Saccharomyces cerevisiae S288C: one gene and its partners. The gene in region 1 interacts genetically with each later gene. Each region holds a gene or a part of one and is shown in the gene's direction. Other genes may lie near its edges. The genes, in order: GND2, YKL183C-A, DPC25 and YFL064C.

What was found.
Region 2: mutations in GND2 (region 1) and YKL183C-A together harm fitness more than expected from each alone (negative genetic interaction), as found in Saccharomyces cerevisiae (one large-scale study listed by BioGRID).
Region 3: mutations in GND2 (region 1) and DPC25 together harm fitness more than expected from each alone (negative genetic interaction), as found in Saccharomyces cerevisiae (one large-scale study listed by BioGRID).
Region 4: mutations in GND2 (region 1) and YFL064C together harm fitness more than expected from each alone (negative genetic interaction), as found in Saccharomyces cerevisiae (one large-scale study listed by BioGRID).

What each region holds. Positions count from the first base shown.
Region 1 is NC_001139.9:1,002,728-1,006,679, forward strand, and holds GND2 (phosphogluconate dehydrogenase (decarboxylating) GND2), read left to right. Parts: upstream 1-1,896; coding exon 1,897-3,375; downstream 3,376-3,952. Other genes in the region: putative N,N-dimethylaniline monooxygenase COQ6, read right to left, coding at 1-1,235; MTM1 (Mtm1p), read right to left, coding at 3,478-3,952. UniProt on the Saccharomyces cerevisiae protein: Catalyzes the oxidative decarboxylation of 6-phosphogluconate to ribulose 5-phosphate and CO(2), with concomitant reduction of NADP to NADPH.
Region 2 is NC_001143.9:97,845-100,617, reverse strand, and holds YKL183C-A (uncharacterized protein), read left to right. Parts: upstream 1-2,010; coding exon 2,011-2,223; downstream 2,224-2,773. Other genes in the region: LOT5 (Lot5p), read right to left, coding at 977-1,897; ornithine decarboxylase SPE1, read right to left, coding at 2,461-2,773.
Region 3 is NC_001148.4:347,534-350,365, forward strand, and holds DPC25 (Dpc25p), read left to right. Parts: upstream 1-1,585; coding exon 1,586-2,332; downstream 2,333-2,832. Other genes in the region: YPL108W (uncharacterized protein), read left to right, coding at 913-1,419; adenyl-nucleotide exchange factor SSE1, read right to left, coding at 2,661-2,832.
Region 4 is NC_001138.5:2,759-5,494, reverse strand, and holds YFL064C (uncharacterized protein), read left to right. Parts: upstream 1-1,648; coding exon 1,649-2,173; downstream 2,174-2,736. Other genes in the region: YFL065C (uncharacterized protein), read left to right, coding at 2,157-2,465.

The sequences.
Region 1 (3,952 bases):
CCAATGTCTAAACCTCTTTCCATTGCCTTTTCTAAAGCGTATACTAAACCATGAACGTCTGTTTGCCCCATGTTTAACCCCTGTCCAGCGAGAGGATGTGTCGTATGTGCTGCGTCCCCAACAAGGGCAACTCTATCAGTGCAATAACGATCTGCATGTGTTAATTTTAAGGGAAAACGTGCTCTTGTCTTATCTATTATACTAACAACTCTTGGTGGGTAAATTTCATCAATATCCGACTCGTCCTTCAACGTGGCGTATATTTCCTCAGTTCTGAATTTAATATCTTCTATCAATTTATCGGTGTCCATAGAGCCATCTTCCAATGTACGGTAATAGTAGTTCATGTCTGCGTCTTCCAAGACAAAAGCAGCATTGATAAGTGCAGTGAATGATTCTGGAGGTAATGACAACAAAAGCCTCGATAAACGTTCAGATGAACTCCAGACTAAAGTAGCATTATTTTCAGGCATGGGTAAGTGTGCAATTGGACCAGTGGGTAAGAACCTCTGCCAGCCCCTTAGTTTAAAGGGAGGATACTCTAACTTCATGCTGGCCACAACACCATAGGCATTATACATCCAGCCCCTAGATGGGATCTGGGAAAATCTTCTGGTAGGAGAATTGAACCCGTCTGCACCCACTAGCAATCTCGTCTTGTATACTTCACCATTGGAAAGAGTGACTAAAGGCCAGGACAATGGATCATTAGGGTCGCTGTGTTTAATATTGACAACTTTTGTATTATCAATAATATCAATGGAGTCCTTCTTTGAATCGTACTGAGAAATTCTGTTGTATAAGGAGGCCTGTATATTTATAATTTCAATCATACAAAGCATGGAGTCCCTTGCCAGATCCAAAGTAGCCTTAGAACAACCGTCCGTGACATAGAGTCCGTCATAACTTTGAATCCTGTCATGCATCAAAGTTGCCCCAGCGTTATTCTCAAGAAAATGAATAGATCTAGGCGTAACACTGACAATCCTGTTCGTAAAATAATCTGGGGGTGAATTATAAAAGTCCGATAATTTATCTTTTAAGTCCACCATATCGACTAAAGTTGTCTTTAGATCTTTTAATTGCGGAGAATTCTTAATCGATGCAGCTAAAGTCAAACCTGCAGGACCCCCACCTACGATTAATACATCTGTTAACTTTGGAGCTGAAGATTTGGCTGTTGCCAAACCCCTCACCAAAATACGCCGAGTAAGCATAACTTTTGAAAAGAACATGCCTCTGTGTCAATCGATACAAGGTTCACTGAAAGACCAATTTGAGTTACTGAATGAAGAAAATTATCGCCACAATTATATTTATTCCTTTTTAATGTCGTATCACAATTCCAGAAGGGATATTTCTCAGAAACAGTTTAAGATCTGCGTGTTCCTTCTGCAAGAAGAAGGGAAAAAAAGAAAGGAGAAACAATAGCAGCATAAATCTTGTTCGATAAAACAACATCACTTTTTCTTGAAACTTCAAGGGTTTGCCTCCTTAGCTTAGTGGTAGAGCGTTGCACTTGTAATGCAAAGGTCGTTAGTTCAATTCTGACAGGTGGCAGTTTCCTTTTTATTTGTCAGTATTAATAATTGAGGCGCCCCTAATTTTTTTGGCACCGCTCTCGATGAAAAAGTAGAGACGTCAGAAATTGAACGTTTCCTCTAGGAGTTTATTAACTAATAACCCCGAAAAATGGCTCTTTAACCACGAGTGCCCACGGAGGTTATCTTCACCCCTATTTTCATTTTAAATTTTAGATCACTGCTAGGAGTTAGCTCAAATATATATATATATATATATATGGAGACAACGTTTGAAGAATTCGTAGGTGCAGGTGAGCATATTGCCGGATAAGTGTAGTTACGCAACTACAATTAAAAAAACACGAGGAACAGAATGTCAAAGGCAGTAGGTGATTTAGGCTTAGTTGGTTTAGCCGTGATGGGTCAAAATTTGATCTTAAACGCAGCGGATCACGGATTTACCGTGGTTGCTTATAATAGGACGCAATCAAAGGTAGATAGGTTTCTAGCTAATGAGGCAAAAGGAAAATCAATAATTGGTGCAACTTCAATTGAGGACTTGGTTGCGAAACTAAAGAAACCTAGAAAGATTATGCTTTTAATCAAAGCCGGTGCTCCGGTCGACACTTTAATAAAGGAACTTGTACCACATCTTGATAAAGGCGACATTATTATCGACGGTGGTAACTCACATTTCCCGGACACTAACAGACGCTACGAAGAGCTAACAAAGCAAGGAATTCTTTTTGTGGGCTCTGGTGTCTCAGGCGGTGAAGATGGTGCACGTTTTGGTCCATCTTTAATGCCTGGTGGGTCAGCAGAAGCATGGCCGCACATCAAGAACATCTTTCAATCTATTGCCGCCAAATCAAACGGTGAGCCATGCTGCGAATGGGTGGGGCCTGCCGGTTCTGGTCACTATGTGAAGATGGTACACAACGGTATCGAGTACGGTGATATGCAGTTGATTTGCGAGGCTTACGATATCATGAAACGAATTGGCCGGTTTACGGATAAAGAGATCAGTGAAGTATTTGACAAGTGGAACACTGGAGTTTTGGATTCTTTCTTGATTGAAATCACGAGGGACATTTTAAAATTCGATGACGTCGACGGTAAGCCATTGGTGGAAAAAATTATGGATACTGCCGGTCAAAAGGGTACTGGTAAATGGACTGCAATCAACGCCTTGGATTTAGGAATGCCAGTCACTTTAATTGGGGAGGCTGTTTTCGCTCGTTGTTTGTCAGCCATAAAGGACGAACGTAAAAGAGCTTCGAAACTTCTGGCAGGACCAACAGTACCAAAGGATGCAATACATGATAGAGAACAATTTGTGTATGATTTGGAACAAGCATTATACGCTTCAAAGATTATTTCATATGCTCAAGGTTTCATGCTGATCCGCGAAGCTGCCAGATCATACGGCTGGAAATTAAACAACCCAGCTATTGCTCTAATGTGGAGAGGTGGCTGTATAATCAGATCTGTGTTCTTAGCTGAGATTACGAAGGCTTATAGGGACGATCCAGATTTGGAAAATTTATTATTCAACGAGTTCTTCGCTTCTGCAGTTACTAAGGCCCAATCCGGTTGGAGAAGAACTATTGCCCTTGCTGCTACTTACGGTATTCCAACTCCAGCTTTCTCTACTGCTTTAGCGTTTTACGACGGCTATAGATCTGAGAGGCTACCAGCAAACTTGTTACAAGCGCAACGTGATTATTTTGGCGCTCATACATTTAGAATTTTACCTGAATGTGCTTCTGCCCATTTGCCAGTAGACAAGGATATTCATATCAATTGGACTGGGCACGGAGGTAATATATCTTCCTCAACCTACCAAGCTTAAGGAGTTAAAGGCAAAGTTTTCTTTTCTAGAGCCGTTCCCACAAATAATTATACGTATATGCTTCTTTTCGTTTACTATATATCTATATTTACAAGCCTTTATTCACTGATGCAATTTGTTTCCAAATACTTTTTTGGAGATCTCATAACTAGATATCATGATGGCGCAACTTGGGCGTATCTTAATTACTCTGGCTGCCAGGCCCGTGTAGAGGGCCGCAAGACCTTCTGTACGCCATATAGTCTCTAAGAACTTGAACATGTTTCTAGACCTATTGCCGCCTTTCGGATCGCTATTGTTCATCATGGATATTTGCCATCTCGTCTTACCGACATCAAAAGGGTGTGTGCATATAGCAGCTATCATCCCACTTATGCAACCACTGGCAAAACTGTTTATAAAATGGACCCAGTTTGCGTCCTTAGATGCAAATCGAGTAGAATCTAGCCATAGTCTTTCCTTGCAAAGTTCATAGGAACTCCAATATATTGCACTAAACGGAACGTCTCTCCACAGAGTGATCTCCAAACCTTTGAAGAGGGCCCGAGAAGGACCCACCATTTTCATTTCCTGCCTC
Region 2 (2,773 bases), on another chromosome or scaffold:
CGGAATCCTAGTCTATAATCTGATTTTCCGGATGATGTTCTTGTAGTTTCTTTTCTTTATATATTTTTCAGAAATATTCAAAGAGCATATAAGAATATATTTGACCTTGAATTGTATGGAAAAAAAGAATTAATAAATTGAAAAAGGAAGAAAGAAAATTCGTTTAAAAAAGTTGTTTGTTCTTCTTTGTAATGTAAGTGATAACAAGTATGAAAAGGCCCAATGTACTTTTTTATATTTTTCCCTTGGTTCTTTTTCCTTATCAATCAATACCTTTTTTTTTCTTATATTTTTAGTTTTCCCCTATAACTTTGTTGAAAGCCGTTTATATATATAGATAATGATATATATACCCAGTTTTAGTTGGTCCTGCAGAATAGAAGGAAAAAGGAAAAGTGTTTGGAGAAGATGGTTCAATCGATAAAAAGTATGCCAAAAATGCCAAAATGCCGACTGTAATCTCTGATTATTGTCGCAGTGAATCGTTCAACACTTTTCGGTGATTGGGAAAGGCACACTTACTGTCAGACCAAAAGCGTTAAATAGCAACAACGTATTGTTCGCGATTATTTGTATTTTTCAACAATTTCTTTTAACTTGTGCGACGGAAAGATCGCTGTTGCGTAATTATGCTTGGCTGGGCGGCATGTGAAGTTTTTGGCCGTCGTTTGTTGGAGGCCAGGGGAGTAGTGAACCGTGCCTGCACCTCGTGTATCGTGATGCGGAGCAGACGCTGCTATAACCCGGCCTCCGAGGAGCCGTGGGTGCACGGGCATGGAAGGCTGATGCGGACCTTCTACGGGTTTTTTCACATGCTGCCGTTTGCTGAAACATCTTAACTAAGCCTTCGCGCGGCCATACGGGCCCTCAAGACATTCATTACTTGGTATAGAAAGGTATATACGAAGGCAAATAGCCATATTCGTAGAGGACGAGACCGCATAGTACAGCGGGATGTTCCCATAATAGATGTTGTTCATTCATTGTCTCTGGAGTTCTTTCTGCCAGCAAGATTTTGATTTGCGTAGAACTCCATAGACATACTTGCTTCTGGACCACCCCTAGAGACCACGTTGTCCATAACGAGGTCGCCATCCAGATCGTCTGCCAGCCCGTCGTTCTGATACACGGGCGGCCCGTGAAGGGTGTCTCCAAGCCCAGAATACGTGGCGTTGAGATCTTGCGCACCCTCAAACGCCATGCTTGGATCTTGGTATTGTTCCTGGTCTTGATCTTGTACGTCCTCACCGTGCAGGTCCATGCATACGGCTAGTGCTTCGTTACAATTGTTTACCAGGTCATCGCCCCTGTTCACGCCGAAGTTTTCGAAGGTGAAAAGGGTTTCGATTTCGTTGTTATAATGGCGATCGTATATTGAATATTTGGGCCTGATAGTCAATTCCACGCTGCGCACGGTGAAGGCATGTGCTTCTTCGCCGTCGAATTCGCAGGCCTGTGGCGCGAGGCTTTGGTAGAGCATGTCCAACACTTCGTCTCTTTCCAAAGTCAGCAAAATTTCTAATTGAAGCCCTTCCCTACCATCTGGTAGCCGTCTTGATGCATGGTACAAAACGCTGCTGTAGGGAATTTCCAGCCCATATCCCAAGCCATTGAACCAAATGATAATGCAGCTGTTGAGTATAAACAGGTCTGTGCCATACTCACTGGTGTCTTGTGGGTTGGCTTGATTGGACAAATGAGAGCTCGAACAAGGTGTCAGGGAGCCTAGTATCAGGTCCCGACCTCCGCCAAAGAGTATTATGTATTCTTCATTATTCAGTGCAGAAAAGTTGCCGTTGAATCGCGGCTGCGTCTTCTTGAATTGGTTATATGGTATGACGTTTTCGACCGATGGTTTGGTCCTTGCAATTTGGCACTTTGGTTTTTTTTTCATCATTTTTCTTTTTATTTTATGGTTGATGCTTCTTTTGAAATAAATATTCGTCTATCACTGTAGCTATGGTCTATCTTGGCCTGTGTTGAAGTATGGTGAACAATCCGAAGTAATGGATGTATTCAAAGATCTTGCTATACCGTAGTAACGTTCTGTTCATGAACTTTTTCTCTGTTTTTGTATGTACAATTGGTACTTTATTTTTGGTTTTCGCAGATGTCTATGTTCTTGCGTCGGCATTTTTCCAAAGTAAAAAGGAAAAAGAGACAAAGTTTAAGCATTTACACTACCAAAAAAGATCTTGTTTCTTTCTAGCAAATATACACTAAACATAAAAAAAAATTATAAAAAATTGTAAAAAAAATATAAAAAAATACTTTTGTGTACAATGGCGTACAGTGGTGGACAGGAAAAATGCCAGAATTTTCTTGAATCATCATTCTCTGACTCTTAAATAGCGTGTATAACTCGTTCATGAACACTCAAATTCTTAGTGACAATGGTTGCATTCAGCCTTTTCCCACCCCCTCCGTCTCTCTTGCGAAAGTCGTGGTTAAATATATCCTTCAATCGAGTTCAGAGTCTATGTATACTATATCCGCAGTCTGCTCAAAGCCGTTGAATTGAGTAGCCGCCGATGATGTGTAGGCACCCAGGGCAGGAAAATAAAACCAATCACCGACTATAACATCATGCTTCATGTAATACTCTTTGGCAATACAATCCAAACCATCACATGTGGGTCCCCAGATGGAAACTTTATATGGATACTCAGATCTTGTTTTGTTGATAGAGTCGAGGACCGCAGTAGTGGATTCAAAATCGTCGTAATGAAATTCCAAATTATGATAAAGGGTTCTTGGATGGGGCTCTTGATGA
Region 3 (2,832 bases), on another chromosome or scaffold:
CTCATATATTCGGGGTTATTTATTTTTCGTTGCTTGAAGTAAAGCCTTTAATACACACTTAGTATTTAAACACTTAAGATTTACGAATCACAGATTCTAAATTTGTATTTAATAAATTGATTCTAAGTACAGGAAGTATCAAGGGGGGGGGTTGACAGATAGAATCACACCTTGATTAATTTAGTTCCTGATGAACAAGCCAACTTGACCAATCAAACCCTTTCGCGGCACTTTTTCTCTTAGCTCTGCTTGATACATCGACTGGGAACTTCTTCTCTTTGAGCCAACTAACCTCAATCCCTTAAAGATTTTGTAAACCGCAGAAACACCTGGTTGTTTTCGCTTGTTGGCAAAGGTTAATAACACAGTAACTTTCAATCTTGTTCCGAAGTGCAGAGTGCAGTTCCCTGTGTGTTCAAGTGACATACGGCATTTGAATACACTACACTTATCGTCATGTCAAAACAAGTGTTATAGAAGCAGCGTTAATATAATATTAGTACCTGTACAGTTTTAAACTCAATTGAGTGCAAAGATCTGATGCATCCCATTTTAGTTTCTCATAAATTATTGCTTTGGTTCATAGTTCAATTGTAAGCATTATTAAAACAACTGCTTCTATTTAGACAATACAAGAACGCGATCTTTCCAGTAACTGCCTAATCTGAAATTATGTTTTTCAGTTGCGCCTGTGGCCTACACAACTTGCATAATAAGCAGTTAAAAATAACTCCTAATCTTACTAATCTTGTCGAACTAGACTAGCTGTAATGATCTGTCATATATAAGTTAATATTCAACATCGACTGTAATTGTCAATTCAATCTTGACAGCAACGATTGAAGTCATCGCCTCGCCGTAATTGAAAAAAAAATGTAAGATGAATAACAGCTAAGAAAGATAATAATTTTTATGAAAGAAGCATCTGATAGAGAAGAAGCACCAAAAATGGTGGAAAAAAACTATAGTACAGGTTTTAGGAAAGCCCACGGAGAGAAGGATCAATCAGTGACTAAGCCAATCTCGTTAGATGGTAGAACAGGTGAAGTAATTGTTAGAAAATCCACCGGGAAAACTAAAATACGTAAAGGTCAAACGGAAGAAGAGTATACACAGCAATTGCAGCACTACTTCGAAGTAGAACAAGGCCCTGTGCGGACAAAGGTAGGATGGATGGATGAGGTAGATCCCTTGGTTGAGATCCGGGAAGGCAAGTACGATATCTCCAATAAGCATCAGCGACAGGTGCTTAGTGGTTTCTGCCATCGTTTATTTTACCAATGTAAGTACAAGGAGTGTCTGGATCTCAGCACCTATTTTCTGGGGCTCTTTGAACCGTTCAACGTGAAGAATAAAATGAAGAGGGAGCTTGAAGAGTTGGAATATATGATCGAGCGATGTCGTGGGCATGTATTATAAGCCCGAATCAGATACTCAAATTTGAAAAAAGATATCTTTCTCCTCCGACATGGCCGAACTCATTTACATAAATAGCATAAATTAAACAGAATAATAATACGTAAATTACAACAGTCAGAGGGTGCATGAAACCGTCATTAGATAGAGACGTGATCAAAAGTAGAAAATGATAAGAAATCAGGGATGGTCATTACTTTACAGAATTTATCCGGTGCGGAGGTTCACAAGATACTCCAGAGTAGATATGACTTTTGAAGGAAACACTCAAGATATCTCTACTTCTGTCGAAGAAAGAATGACCACTGTTTTTGGAGGACGCTTAAAGGGTGAACCACCAAGATCCACAAGTAGAGTGCTTAGCGGCGGAACGAAGAAAATAGCAGGTGTCCAAGTGCCTGCAAAACCACAAGAACCCGATAACTGTTGCATGTCAGGTTGCGTTAACTGTGTCTGGGAGATATATAGCGAGGATTTAAGAGACTGGAAACATAGAAGGAAAGAGGCTGCGGAAAAGATCGCAGGAACTAAGGAGAAGTGGCCTAAAGACTGGAATCCACCTTTGGGATTGTTACATATGGAAAATGTCCCTGTTGAGTTACGTGAAAAGAAGCTGGAAACCGATAGCAAAAAAGCAGAACAACCTCATGATTTATCTGCTATCAGAAGTTTGTTCCCTAAAAGAAAAGGGCCTCTGCCCAAGAGTGTATTGGCAGCCAAGAGGAAAAATATTGCTTTGAGACACAATTACGAACAGAAAGATGGAGGAGACCAATCAGTCAGTGAATCAGATGCTGATGAAGGCTGGGAAGATATTCCTGTCTACGTTAAAGCCTTTGCAGAGTTTGAATCAAAGAAAAGATTACAAAAAATTCGCCGACAGGAAGAAATAAAAAAGAGGACAGCTTTGGTTTGAAGCAAATATATATTATTGAAAAGCCTATGTACAATATTTGCGGTCTTCTTTGATCTTGGTAGACTTTATGGATGGAGAATAATAAACATACATATATTTCACTTAGAGGGTTTAGGAGACTAATGCGTGAATACGCGCTGGCATGTCCCCATTCATGCATACATATATTCGTAAACATACACATATTCATAAAAATTTTCAGTTATATTATATTATAATCTTTTTTTAACTATACAGAGAAGATATTAAAAAAAATGTATCCAAAGTGAGTTAAAAAAATCGGAAAAAACAATAAAGATCCTTTTCTAGTTACTTTGCTGCATTAACATTAGTCCATGTCAACATCACCTTCAGTGTCCTTCTTTTCTTCCTTCTTTTCAGCTTCTGCCTTTCTTTGAGCAGCCAACTTTTCAGCCATAGCAGCCATTTGGGATGCTTCTTGCTTAGATCTTATAGCTTGCTTCTTTTCTTCTTCTTTAGCCAAGTATCTACCTCTAATA
Region 4 (2,736 bases), on another chromosome or scaffold:
ATTTTTATGTTTAGGTGATTTTAGTGGTGATTTTTTTGTAATATTGGCATAAGTGTATATAAATTGAGTGGTTAGTATACGGTGAAAAAGAGGTATAACGTATGTATTAAGGGCATTTATACAATATTTGGGGCCGCGGAATAAGATATAAATATTAAAATGTGGATAATAGTGGGAGTTATGCGTAAATGGCACAGGGTATAGACCGCTGAGGCAAGTGCCGTGCATAATGATGTGGGTGCATTTGTACTCATGAAGTGAGAGATGGGCCATGGAGTGGAATGTGAAAGTAGGGTAAGTTGAGATAGTATATACTATTGTAGCATCCGTGTGCGTATGCCGTATCAGTATACAAGTGATGGTGAGTATGACAGATGGGGCATGGTAGGGTATTGGCAGGGTAAGTATGTGTGCATTGTTTACGATCATTTGTTAACGTTTCAATATGGAGGGTAGAACAACAGTACAGTGAGTAGGACATGGTGGATGGTAGGGTAATGGCAGGGTAAGTGGCAGTGAGGTTGGATATGGGTAATTGGAGGGTAACTGTTATGGTGGATTTGTGGGTTGGTGGTGGGGAGGCAGGGTAACGAGTGGGGAGGCAGGGTAATGGAGGGTAAGTTGAGAGACAGGATGGAAGGGTTGGATTAGGGTAGGGTTGAGGTAGTATTAGGGTGTGGGTGTGGTGTGTGGGTGTGGGTGTGGTGGGTGTGGTGTGGGTGTGGTGTGGTGTGGGTGTGGTGTGTGGGTGTGGTGTGGGTGTGGTGTGTGGGTGTGGGTGTGTGGGTGTGGTGTGTGTGGGTGTGTGGGTATATATATGTCACTGTATTGCATGCTGGATGGTGTTAGACAAGGCCGTAGGGACATATAGCATCTAGGAAGTAACCTTGTACGAAAATAGGCAATATTTCCTGTTTAGGCGATTGGGACGCAGATTTTAGTCCAACGATCTAGCGTCAAGGAATTTTTTTATAGTGGGACATTGCACCAAGGAAGTAACTTGATACGTCGTGGGTGAATGGGTCTGTTTTCTTATTCGGCGGGGTAATACATTTTTGGGGGAAGTTTGTCTGTCTGACGCGCCATATGTAGGTACGCCAAAAAGGGCTCCTCTACTTCGAAGCGCGAGGTCGTATACCTAATAAGGAAATGTAATTTATAACTTTCTATTATATTGGTCTTTTCGAGAGCGGAAGAAGTTGTAGGCTAAGCGCAGGCTAAGCGTAGGTCCATGTTTGAAGTATCCAAGAGAATATCCACGAATCCTGGTTCTCCTCGACTAAGCAGATAGTTAAGATACTGTGCACCATGGAAATTGAAAACGAAAGTGCGTACCGACTACTTTATTTTTGCAGGCCGGAAATCAAGCGATGAATGAGACATCCTTCTGTTTTCTATGTTGTGCTTGAAGGGGACAGACAGTCGCTTATCTTAGTGAGATTTCTTATTAACTGAATTTTCTTTGCTGCTGCTGGAGATTTGCACCTGCATAGCGCAGATTCTGCATCTTCTCAATAGCTTAATTATTACATTCTTAGATGATGATAAGACGGAAACTGGACAATCTTTTGTTTATATTGATGGATTTCTTGTCAAAAAGCATAACAATCAACATACTATTGTTAATTTCGAAACTTACAAAAATAAAATGAAAGTTTCCGATAGGCGTAAGTTTGAAAAAGCAAACTTTGACGAGTTTGAGTCGGCTCTAAATAACAAAAACGACTTGGTACATTGTCCCTCAATAACTTTATTTGAATCGATCCCCACGGAAGTGCGGTCATTCTACGAAGACGAAAAGTCTGGCCTAATCAAAGTGGTAAAATTCAGAACTGGTGCAATGAATAGGAAAAGGTCTTTTGAAAAAATTGTCATTTCCGTCATGGTCGGGAAAAATGTACAAAAGTTCCTGACATTTGTTGAAGACGAACCAGATTTCCAGGGCGGACCAATCCCTTCAAAGTATCTTATTCCCAAGAAAATCAACTTGATGGTCTACACGTTGTTTCAAGTGCATACTTTGAAATTCAATAGAAAGGATTACGATACCCTTTCTCTTTTTTACCTCAACAGAGGATACTATAATGAGTTGAGTTTTCCGTGTCCTGGAACGTTGTCACGAAATAGCGAGTGCCAGGCCGAACGACAGCTCTACGATGCGTACTTTCACTGACTTTGTTTCTGGCGCACCTATTGTAAGGAGTCTTCAGAAAAGCACCATAAGGAAATATGGGTACAATTTGGCACCCCACATGTTTTTGTTACTACACGTAGATGAGCTATCGATTTTTTCTGCATACCAAGCAAGTTTACCTGGCGAAAAGAAAGTCGACACAGAGCGGCTGAAGCGTGATCTATGCCCACGTAAACCCATTGAGATAAAGTACTTTTCACAGATATGTAACGATATGATGAACAAAAAGGACCGATTGGGTGATGTTTTGCGTGTGTGCTGCCCAAGTTGAGAAGAGATACTAACAAAATGACCGCGGCTCTCAAAAATAATTGACGAGCTTACGGTGATACGCTTACCGTTATCCAGAGCTACAGCGCAACGTATACGTCGACGATACAACAAGAACGGTTCATCGGAGCCTCGACTAAAGACGCTTGACGGACTCACTTCCGAGCGCTGGATTCAATGGTTAGGCCTTGAAAGCGACTACCATTGTTCATTCTCTAGTACTCGGAATGCGGAAGACGTAGTGGCAGGTGAGGCGGCGAGTTCAGATCATG